2 linked regions of the Saccharomyces cerevisiae S288C genome follow. The protein of the gene in region 1 purifies or fractionates together with the protein of each later gene. This does not show direct contact. Each region holds a gene or a part of one and is shown on either strand. Other genes may lie near its edges. The genes, in order: ECM22 and YLR419W.

Region 1 (4,934 bases):
AAAAATGTGCAATTTTGTAGTCATATTAGTATATGCCCATCTTTTCTTAATCTATATCTAAAATTAACTTATATATACACCTTCCTATCCTTTTATTATCGTTGTATTTCATTTTTTCGCTTTGCTCAGAGTTGATTCTCTTTGTTTCTTGCGCCAGGATCATCCGTCTGTTCAAGGCGGAGTAGTGCAAAAAAGTCGAGCCGTCAAGCCCCAAACGTTCAATACTTCCATGTTCTTCAACGCTAAACGCGACATTTGCGAGTCCTACCACGTCTTCTCCGTTTACGGGCAAAAACACCTCTTAACATCAAAAATTTGGCTTTCGTGCTTTTTTCTGAAATATATTCGTTGCATAGACACGGTATGCATATGAAACATTCAGGCTAGCAATCAATACTTAAACCCTTTACGGGCGTGCATGATGTATCAGGAAACCAGTTTGAGAATGTCGCCCACCAAGCTCCATGGAAAGGCGCAAACCAATTACGCGGAACACAAAAATGGGCCTTTTTTTGATCGCCTCAAAGGCCGGACCAGGTTCGTTAAACGTCTGTAGAGGTGCCGAACAATTTTTGTCTAGAATAAATTTCCATTTTTCTGGCATTTAATTCTAGGCTTTCTGGTCTCTTTGTTCTTGCAGCTAGCCCATTGGGTGCTCTTCAAAATATGTCAATATCACCTTGATTTTGAAAATGCGCCCGTAAAATTGGACTTATGCTACAAATATATTCTACAGGAAAAGATCCGCAAGGTCTGCTTTAGCGTAAAAACGACCTCCCAGTATTTTATATAACCTCAGCCATTTCACTGAATGATACATAGTAGCATATATAGCTAGGCCTAAATGTATTTTTTTTTACAACTTTTTAGATCGCTGCGTGAAGGATGAAACTTCATATGAGTACGGACGTTTGAAAGGGTAGAGTGGCGCTAGCATAGAAATGCCATTTCTCGGAGGTGTCATCATTCGAAAAGAACTCAATTTTCAAGCGATTGAGATTCAAAGGCAAACCGATGCCTCCTCATTGGTCACATCTTCATGTAAACTGTGGCTGCTTTTTTTTCTAAATACTCTATGACTACAGCTTTCCTTTGTACAAACTCAAGTTTATTTAATCGTCTTTTTTAATGTTTATGTTCAACATACCCGAAACCACTACAAGACGGAAAATACTAGAGAAACATCAACAAATGAAAAAAAAAGGCTACAATCCTCGGATGAAACTGATAAAAACGAGCACAGTATATGCCGAGTCGTAGCATTTAACGTACTAACACTACTCGCCAAATCATAAGAGCTTCATGCTGACGTGTGTATCTATATCGCTTTTACAGATCCTGCAACCGACAGAGCCGAAAACGTAATTGGTGACTCGTTCCTCGTTCTTGTCGGAAAAATTTAAACGAGCGCGTTCGATAAACTCAACGAAGGCAAGTTTGAACAATAGATGTTGGTCGTAATCATTCGTTCTTCGACTTTTATAGCCTTTTTTTTAACTTAACGAACTCGTACTATCTAATAGTTTATTTCCCCTTGTTTTTTTTTGTTACGATTGGGGAAAAGCAAGGGTTCCCTGCGTCTACGATTACATCATCTACTAACTAGTCACCGAAATCGATTATCGTCGAAGGAGAAGCAACCAAGACCTCCACTTTTCAAAGGCACAAATAACATTTCGCCTTTACATAATATAGAGGAGTTAAGTCGACGGTTTTTTTCATTTAAGGTTTATATTTCGTTTATCCATAGATCTCCATCTAACATAACATGACATCCGATGATGGGAATGCTGGACAAGAAAGAGAGAAGGATGCTGAACTGATTGAGGTTGGGGGCAAGAAAGTGAGCAAGACTTCGACAGGGAAACGGAAGTTTCATAACAAGTCCAAGACCGGTTGCGACAATTGTAAAAGAAGAAGAGTAAAATGTGATGAAGGCAAACCATTTTGCAAGAAATGTACAAACATGAAATTGGACTGTGTTTACAGCCCTATTCAGCCAAGAAGAAGAAAAGATTCTTCGTCGTCAAAATTTGCATCAGCGGTCCACGATAGGGTAGGCAAGAAAAATCTGAGTGACAATGCCATCATGTTACAACAACAACAACAGCAACTTCATCATCAACAAGAACAGCAATTTCGTCAACAACAGCAAGTTCAGTTACAGCAGCAACTGTTGCCACATGTTGGTACTGATGAACAAAGCAATTCCCCTAATAGCGTTCCTCCATCCGTATCCAATAATATGGAGAATCTTTTGTTACCGCACCTATTAGCGAGTTTAGTGAATAACACCAGTAACAGTACCAACAGCAGTGCAAATGGAGCTGAAGCGCATAATAATATAACACAAACAGCTCCCAGTTCAATGATAAACAACAACCACCCAAACATGGCCCTACCAGGGAATTCGCCATTGAGTATACCGATAACACCTAGTTTTCAATCAACGGCCATGAATTTATCAAGTAGCCTTAACGGCTTACTCTCGCCTGGTAGGCTAAATTCGGTGACGAATGGATTGCAGCAGCCACAACTTCAACAACAAAATCAGCAAATTCCACAACAACAAGGAACACAGTCCCCCTTCAGCAATATTCCCTTCGACCAGCTAGCGCAATTGAACAAGATGGGCTTGAACTTCAATATGAAGAGCTTCAATACATTATTTCCATACGGTGCTGCAAATGGAATGGCCTCTGAGTTTCAAGAGTTATTTGGCCTCGGAAAGTTTGCTACATCTAATAACAGAGCAATCAAAGTTAGCACAGCAGAGGAGGCACTCGCAAATATGCAACAGGAACAGGAGGACAAAAACAAGCAATTTACGAAGAACCCATTGGATAATACTAAGACGGATGCTGTTAATTCGGGCAATAACCCCCTTAACGGAAACGAAAATAAAGTTACTGCTTCTGATATACTATCTCATAACAAAAACTTGATAATCGACAATACCGGTCTCACAATCAGTCCCCCACACACGTTGTCCAAACCTTCCATAGATCAAAACATTGCGTCCCCTTCAACGGGAGTATCCAATGTAACCTCTACAAAGTCATTGTTATCTATACCGGACAACAGGACCGCTTTGGGAAATTCTCCTACTTTGAAGACGTCCCCAATGGGTGACCTGTTATCCAACTCGGAGGCATTGTCTCCACGTTCATCAAATTCTCACACTCAACAACAATCTTCTCCCCATTCAAACGCTTCATCAGCCTCACGACTAGTCCCTGAATTAGTCGGGCTGTCTAGAAAATCAAATTTGAATTTGATAGATCTAAAACTTTTTCATCACTATTGTACTGACGTATGGCATACCATAACCGAAGCAGGCATTTCTGGTCCTGAAGTATGGAGCACTTATATTCCGGATTTGGCTTTTCATTTTCCCTTCTTGATGCATACAATTTTGGCTTTTAGCGCCACTCATTTGTCCAGAACTGAAGCCGGCTTGGATAACTACGTGTCTAGTCATCGTTTAGAAGCGTTGAGACTGTTAAGAGAGGCTGTGCTCGAAATTTCAGATGATAACACAGATGCTTTGGTGGCTAGTGCTCTAATATTAATCCTAGATTCATTGGCAAATGCTTCAAGCAGCTCACCAACGGCATGGATTTTCCATGTTAAAGGCGCCGTAACTATACTAACTGCTGTATGGCCCCTGTCGGAGACATCCAAGTTTTATAACTTAATTTCTGTTGACTTGAGTGATTTGGGTGAAGCTGTAATCAACCAAAGTAATCATAATAATGATAATGACAATAGCAATAATGGTGATGGAAATAACAATAATACGATATCGGAACTCGTATGCTTTGACGAAAGTATAGCAGATTTATATCCCGTAGAAATTGATTCACCGTACTTGATAACTTTAGCATATTTGGACAAACTGCATCGCGAAAAAAATCAATTAGATTTTATGTTGAGAGTCTTCTCATTTCCTGCTCTTTTGGATAGGACTTTTTTAGCATTATTAATGACAGGCGACCTAGGGGCCATGAGAATAATGAGGTCTTACTATACATTATTGAGAGGTTATACCACAGAAATAAAGGACAAAGTGTGGTTCTTGGATAGCGTATCACAGGTTTTACCACAGGATGTTGATGAGTATAGTGGAGGTGGTGGTATGCATATGATGCTGGATTTCTTAGGAGGTGGGTTACCTTCTATGACCACTACAAACTTTTCAGCTTTTATGTAATTTATCAAAATATAAACTCTTTTCTTTCGATGGGTCAGTGCTACAGAATGTGAACCTCATCGATGAATAACTACATTATGTTACTTCCGAATATACTGGCCATTTTGAGGAATCCACAAAAGGAAATGGATACTTATACATAGTAGTATTATTATTTCTTCTTTCGTTTTTATATGTTGTCAAGTGATCATTAATAATAACATGAGTTGTTATGGTAACAATTTAAATGTTTACATAGTATATTGAGGTACACCCGGTATACGTTTATGTGTAAATGCACTAATCACAGGATAAAAACTTAAGCGAGCAATTCAGACAATGCTGAGCTGAGTTAAAGATATATTGATTGAACATAATGTGGTAGCTACTTATATATATGAGGAATACGGGTCACCACACTAAATACATAGTAACTACCAAAGGCACTTTTATGTTAATAATAAATAATAATGAGCAAATCTAATGCTTTCTTGAAAAATAGGTGGATTTTATGGGTGAATAATTGAATAATTGTTGGGATTCTATTGTTAAAGGCACTAATAGTGGGCATACGTTAATGTGCCAGGAGAATATAGCAACATTGAAGGGAAATGACATCTCTACAGAGCATCACTATTTTTTCTTCTTCAATTTAATTGTTGTTACTCATTATCCTATTACATTATCGATCATTGCATTTCAGCTTCCATTAAATTCGATGACTGTTCCTCAATTTTTGACG
Region 2 (6,865 bases), 360 kb from region 1:
AAAAACTCTTATTGGCCCTCGCATATATAAGTAATAAATGCATGGTTTGATTACCTGCTCGTAATACTACATTCTCCCAAATAAATAGTTTACATATAAACGCGCGGCTAAACTTCACTTCGTTACTTGAAATGCCAATAATAACACATAACATAGAGTACAAAATCGGAATAGAAACGCCGACTGAAGAAACACTTTCAATGGCCGAAATACCATTCTTCCGTTTATCGTATTCAACGGTATCCTCTTGAAATAAGTTCCTTTTCTAAACTATGCCAGAAATAACGCACGACTTCCACATCCTTAAATCTTTTATTTTTGTCAAGTTCGACCTTTTCTACATTCCATTGCTGCACGTGTTGTGGTACAGAATCACCGGCAAAGTGGAAATAGTAGCCTTTGCAGCGTTGAAATAATTCCTGTGGCGAATTCCACTGATAGTTATTAAACTGCCACGTATGACCAGTAGTGAAGATAGCGACAACTCTGTCCCAATATTCTGGCTTAGTAAACATCCTAGTGTTATCGACTATAATAAATCTAATTGGTCTTGATATACGTTCGAAGTTTTTCTCTATGTTAACTAATCCGTTTGGCACTGACGGTAAGTTACGAGGATTCACGTATTTTGACTCCAGCAGGAACTGTTTTATATTTGCAACAGTTAAAATTGATGACGCAGCCGAAGGAATCAAAATAATTGGATCTTTGCGAGGGCCACCTGATGAACCATTTGTTTTGGAAATACGACCGTGCGCGCCCTTATGACCGGGAGGCAATTTAGATCCTCGTAAAGATCCTTTGATCGACTGTACTAATTTTAGTTCTGCATCTTTTATTAGATAACCAAAGTTGATCGGCTTAGCACCACGCAATGCAGAGTTGTGGTCCACCAATATACGTTCATGTTTCATTGTTTCCACCACAACTGGATCGGAAACTTCACTATCATTTTCAAGAGATGCTGAAGTGGTTGATTTTACAGTCGACAATTCACCAGCCAAAGTTTTATTTTCTATATCTACTTTATCGGATGTCTCGCCTTTCTGACCGGGTGCTTTCAGATATTGGGATGATTCCGTATTGCCAGACAACCAATTTATTAAATCAGTTCTTTGTAAAAATGAAACATTAGTCAATTGTTTATTCTGACAGTCTGCTAGATAGTCTGCGGCACTTGAGTCCTTATTCATCCAACAATGAACAATTATTCGTAACTGTACCAATGAACCATCAATCTCAATTTCCGTTTCTTCATTCAATGGAAAACTATCTTGGGTACTACCATCACTGGATAGAGTTTCTACCATGGTTGCTTTCGTAATATCATCAGTAGACTGTCCCTCATTATTTTTTAGAACCAGTTTATCGCCGTTCTTTAAGTGTTCTCTCAGTCTGTCTAATGAGTTCGCCATAATTTTTTCACCAGTTTCTTGCTCAAATTATTATTCTTTTAACGCCCCGAATTAAGAAACAGCCTGTTTTGGAAACGCAATTTGAAAAAGGGTGGAATATTCGTTGAAGTACTTGTTTTAAACCTGTCCAATCGAAATTTTCATCCTTATGCTTTGAGAACAATATTGCGTTGCCGGTTAACCGTCTCGGTGTTCGATGAGTTGAAAAATTATACACTAAAAAGATACATACTATTCAAAGTTGTAAAAGAGACTCTTAGCTAAGGGAAGTATTAACAATAATCATTCACTTTATACTTTACATCGCAATTGCTTTCATTAATTTTTGATAAATGGCCAAAAAAACGAAAAATAACTCAAAAAGTTCAACTCCAGTGAATGATGTACCAACAACTGCTGGCAAAAAGAAAGCAAAAGGAAAAAAGGGACAAGAACCAGAGCCAGAAGATGACAAAAGGGCCAAGCAACAAAGTAATAGAGCAAAAGTGACATCCACAGCAAGCTGGACAGGTAAATTGCCTCATACAATCTTACACGAAACATGTCAGAAACGAAAATGGAATAAGGTAGAGTATGATATGAAGAAAATCGGTGATAAAGGTTTCATTGCAATTGCAGTTTTGTCATTCACTGACCCAAAGACAAAAGAAACATTGACTGCAAGAATGAACGATCCAACCTATGACAAAGCTTCAGGAAAAGGCCTTGTAATTCCTCAAGAAACTCCAATTGAAGCTAGACACATGGCCTCCACTATTGCGCTATATCGCATTGCATACAACACCAACCTGCACATGATGCTTCCGCCAAACCATAGAAAAACATGGTATGCCCTCGACGATTTTCGAAAAGATAACCTGAAAACAGACGAAAAGCGTATAAACAAACTATTTGATCTTGATCCCTTCAAGACAATGGTGGAAGACAGAAAGCTCAAAGCCCAACGTGAAAAAGAACAAGTGGCCCAGAATAATCAAGCACAGAAAGAACAAGTTGCACGAACCATTTTATCTAGCCATGGTGGAATTTCTTCTTCTGGAAAGGACAGGCAAGAGAGAAAAGTAGCATCTCATAAAAACTCACATAATCCTTCATTAGTGCGGTTTCCAAAAAAGGTTTGGGAAAATTCTATATTTGTTGACCTTGATGAATCGTCTAGACAACTGATAGAAACTTCATTGAAAGAGAAAATTGATTGGCAAGCTAAAAAAATTAGCCATAAAAATGAGACAATTGCTGAAAATCGGGAAGATCTCAAGGCAAAATTATTAACTCTACAATTTAGACCAAAACACGTAGAGGAAGCCATGCTTTATAAAGATCCATTGTCTTTCTTATTGTTTAACTTACCGGAAGATGATTTACCACCATTTTTTCATAAAAAGAAAGGTGATACAAAAAACAAGGTTGAAATAACAAACCTACCGTTATCAACTAGAATGATCGTTGAGCGTTTAACAGAAATTGGTGTCTCTTCAGATGAAGCCTTATTGGCTTTACAACAAAACGATATGAATGAAAATGAAGCGGCCGGGTTCTTGACGAGGGAAATTTTACCAACTTTAAATAGCAATACGAATGAACCTGTATCAGAAACTGAATCTATAGAATGTTGGAACCAAGAGCTAGAGAGCCTAGAGAGCATTTATGAGGGCTGCGTGATGGACGCCAAGGAAGATTCACACTACACGCTCAATTTAATTGAAAAACTCAAAATAAAATTGAAAGTATATAGAACCAAAAATTATCCTGCATCATTACCTGGTATTGTAGTTTCAACCTTTGATAAAAATTACAAGCTACCTGATTATATTAAGAAACAAATATTAACCAGGTTACTGCATTATCTCCAGGAAGGAAATCTAATAGGCGATATGTTAGTATATCATATTTATGAATGGTTGAAAGAGAATATATCTAAGATAATTGACAACCCTGGCCCATTAATTCCAGATTCAGATTCGAAAGGTGCAATAAACAAAAGAAACATTTCAAACGGTAAGAGAAGTATAAATAATTCTAGTTCGAGAAAATTCACAAAAACCACCATTTCTGAAGACACGCTCTCTGTCCTAAGGGAAGAGTACACAAAAAGGATCAAAAGTTCTGAATACAAAAGTATGCAGTTAGTTAGAGAACAACTGCCTGCCTGGAAGAAGCAAAAGGTTATTATAGATATCATCAATAAAAACGAAGTTGTATTGATTACTGGTGAAACAGGTTCGGGTAAATCCACTCAGGTCGTTCAGTTTATACTAGATTTCTTACAGAAGGAAAAAGGAGATTTCGGTAAGACTAAAATCGTATGTACGCAACCCAGAAGAATCTCGGCTATTGGGCTTGCTGAACGTGTTTCTGATGAACGCTGTGTAACTTGTGGGGAAGAGGTAGGTTACGTAATAAGAGGTGTCAATAAAACCAAAGCTTCCACACGTATCAAGTTCATGACCACAGGTGTTCTTGTTAGGTTGTTACAGAATGCTAGAACTATGTTAGAAAACACAATTGTTGTTATTGATGAAGTTCATGAACGTTCTATTGATACTGACTTGATAGTGACATTGATGAAAAATCTCTTACATAGAGTTCGCGGCATGAAAATTGTTTTAATGAGTGCTACTGTTAACGTTGACTTGTTCAAAAAATTCTTTCCGGGGCTAGCAACATGTCACATAGAAGGACGCACTTTCCCCATCACTGATTACTTCTTGGAAGACATTCTTAGTGACCTTGACTTCAAGATCAAGAGAGAGAAGGCTTTGTCTTATGATGATGATAGCGTTGATGAAAGAAATAATGACGACCAATATTTGAAGCCGAGAGCAGATTCTAAGTTTTTTACATCTGGGCAAATCAATTATGATTTGCTTTGTCAAGTGGTTGAATATGTACATAAACGCCTGAAAGCTGCTAATGACAACGGATCTATTATCGTTTTTTTGCCTGGTGTGGGAGAGATTAATAAGTGCTGCAATTTGCTAGCTAATAAATCAAATGAAGCAGATTTTATGGTTCTACCCTTGCACTCCGCTCTAACTCCTGAAGACCAAAAAAGGGTGTTCAAAAAATATCATGGGAAAAGGAAAGTTGTTGTATCCACAAATATTGCTGAAACATCTATTACTATAGATGACTGTGTTGCAACTATTGACACAGGCCGTGCCAAATCGATGTTCTATAATCCAAAGGATAATACTACAAAACTAATTGAGTCGTTTATTTCAAAAGCTGAAGTTAAACAACGTAGAGGTCGTGCTGGTAGAGTACGTGAAGGTTTATCTTACAAATTATTTTCTAAAAATTTATACGAAAACGACATGATATCAATGCCAATTCCAGAAATCAAAAGAATCCCGTTGGAATCCCTTTATTTATCTGTTAAGGCTATGGGTATAAAGGACGTTAAAGCGTTTTTGAGCACAGCTTTGGATGCCCCTCCTTTACCAGCTCTGCAAAAGGCAGAAAGAATATTAACAACGATAGGACTTGTTGATGAGTCCGACAAGTCACTCACACAGCTAGGTCAATTTATTAGCCTGATGCCTGTCATGGATAGTAAGCATGGTAAATTACTAATATACGGCATTCTGTTTGGCTGTACGGACATTTCTGTTTTACTTGTCTCGATACTCGGTATTGGAGTTTTGCCTTTCATCGGAGGTTTTGAAAATAGGGAAAAGATAAAAAAACTGCTATGTAAATATGAAAGTCGTGGGGATTTATTTGCAGTATTGGAAATTGTCAGAGATTACTTCAAAATCAAAGATTCGAGCATCAAAAGGAAATATTTGAGAGACAATTTACTTTCCTATAATAAAATTAATGAAATTAAGTCATCAACAGCCCAATATTATTCTATTTTGAAAGATGTAGGCTTTCTACCAATGGACTATAAAGTTGGAAGCATTTCTGATTTGAATAGGAACGAGCGAAATTTTGATATCCTAAGGGCCATTCTCACGGGTGCGTTTTATCCACACATAGCCAGGGTGCAACTACCAGATGTAAAGTATCTATCAACAAGTTCCGGTGCTGTTGAAAAAGATCCTGAAGCCAAAATGATCAAATACTGGATTCGAAGCGAAGAGTATCAGGACAAATTAGAAGAATATAAGACGAAAATTTCGCAAGAGACGCAAAAGGTTGATTTGGAAGATTTACCGTTACCTGCTACTAGGGCATTCATTCATCCAAGTTCAGTCTTATTTTCAACCAATTCAGTAAACTTGGAAGACGCTAAGTTACTCTCTGAGGTGGATGGTCCAATATCCCGTCAATCCAAAATACCAACCGTTGTAAAATACCCATTTGTTTTGTTTACCACGTCTCAAGTTACTAATAAGTTGTATTTGAGGGACTTAACCCCAACTACTACATTATCATTACTATTATTCGGAGGGGCAATCTCTTATGACATTGGAGGTACTATTCATTCACCGGGCATCGTTGTCGACAACTGGCTCCCAATTAGAACCTGGTGTAAGAATGGTGTTTTAATCAAGGAACTGAGAACACAACTTGATGAGGCCATAAGGAAAAAGTTAGAAAGTCCCGATTATGCTAAAAAATCTCAAATTGATAATTCTGGTGCTGATAAAACTCTAAAAATTGTTGAAAAAATTATAGCTTCCGAACAATAGTAATCAGTTCCTACTGTAGTCCCTGTATAATAATTATCATCTTCATTTTCGAAAAGGAATTTTTTTAACATATAGAAGTGTCAAAGTATAAAACACTAACAAAAATCTAAGAGATTATTGCGACTGCGTGTTTTTCTCTTTGCTGAATCAGGGCTAGAATCCCGTAAACTACATAGCACATTGTCTTTGCCATATTTTAAAAATTTTGTGGCGCCGTCAAAATAAAAAAAAAATACTGAAGGATGCGAGGTTCGAACTCGCGCGGACAACCGTCCAACAGATCTTAAGTCTGCCGCCTTAGACCACTCGGCCAACCCTCCGTCGATAATACAACAACAAGGAAATACAGGATACGAACACCATCCAGTTTAACTTGATTAATCTTTACGCATGCATATTGCTACATCTTTTTTATTCTGCAATATACATCTGTTTATATCTCATTAATGTTGGTAAGCCTCTGAAAAATTTATCAAATACTAGTACAATTGTTTACCAACATCATTTTCGTTGCTAGAAAATTACTATACACCGTTAAGAAAAGACATAAATCATGAGACTAATAGAACAACACTAGGGATTAGCCAATTTAATGGGAGCTGAAATGCAGGGATTAATTATGCAATTACAAAATGAATGGTATCGTTTGAAATGAAAGAAGAAACACTAATATTATAACATAGAAATATCGATTTCTTCCTGCGAATTCCCATGTCCTCGTTGAGAACTTCTAATATGTTTTGTATGCCTAATATTATAGCTTTACAAAAAAATAGAATCTCAACAATTATCCCACAATTCACTCATGTC

What was found.
Region 2: the proteins of ECM22 (region 1) and YLR419W purify together in Saccharomyces cerevisiae (affinity purification with mass spectrometry, with the first as the bait; one large-scale study listed by BioGRID). This does not show direct contact.

The regions. Positions count from the first base shown.
Region 1 is NC_001144.5:599,298-604,231, reverse strand, and holds ECM22 (Ecm22p), read left to right. Parts: upstream 1-1,768; coding exon 1,769-4,213; downstream 4,214-4,934. Other genes in the region: Rho family GTPase CDC42, read left to right, coding at 1-20.
Region 2 is NC_001144.5:956,681-963,545, forward strand, and holds YLR419W (RNA helicase), read left to right. Parts: upstream 1-1,747; coding exon 1,748-6,055; downstream 6,056-6,865. Other genes in the region: ESCRT-II subunit protein VPS36, read left to right, coding at 1-30; CDC73 (Cdc73p), read right to left, coding at 234-1,415. UniProt on the Saccharomyces cerevisiae protein: Probable ATP-binding RNA helicase.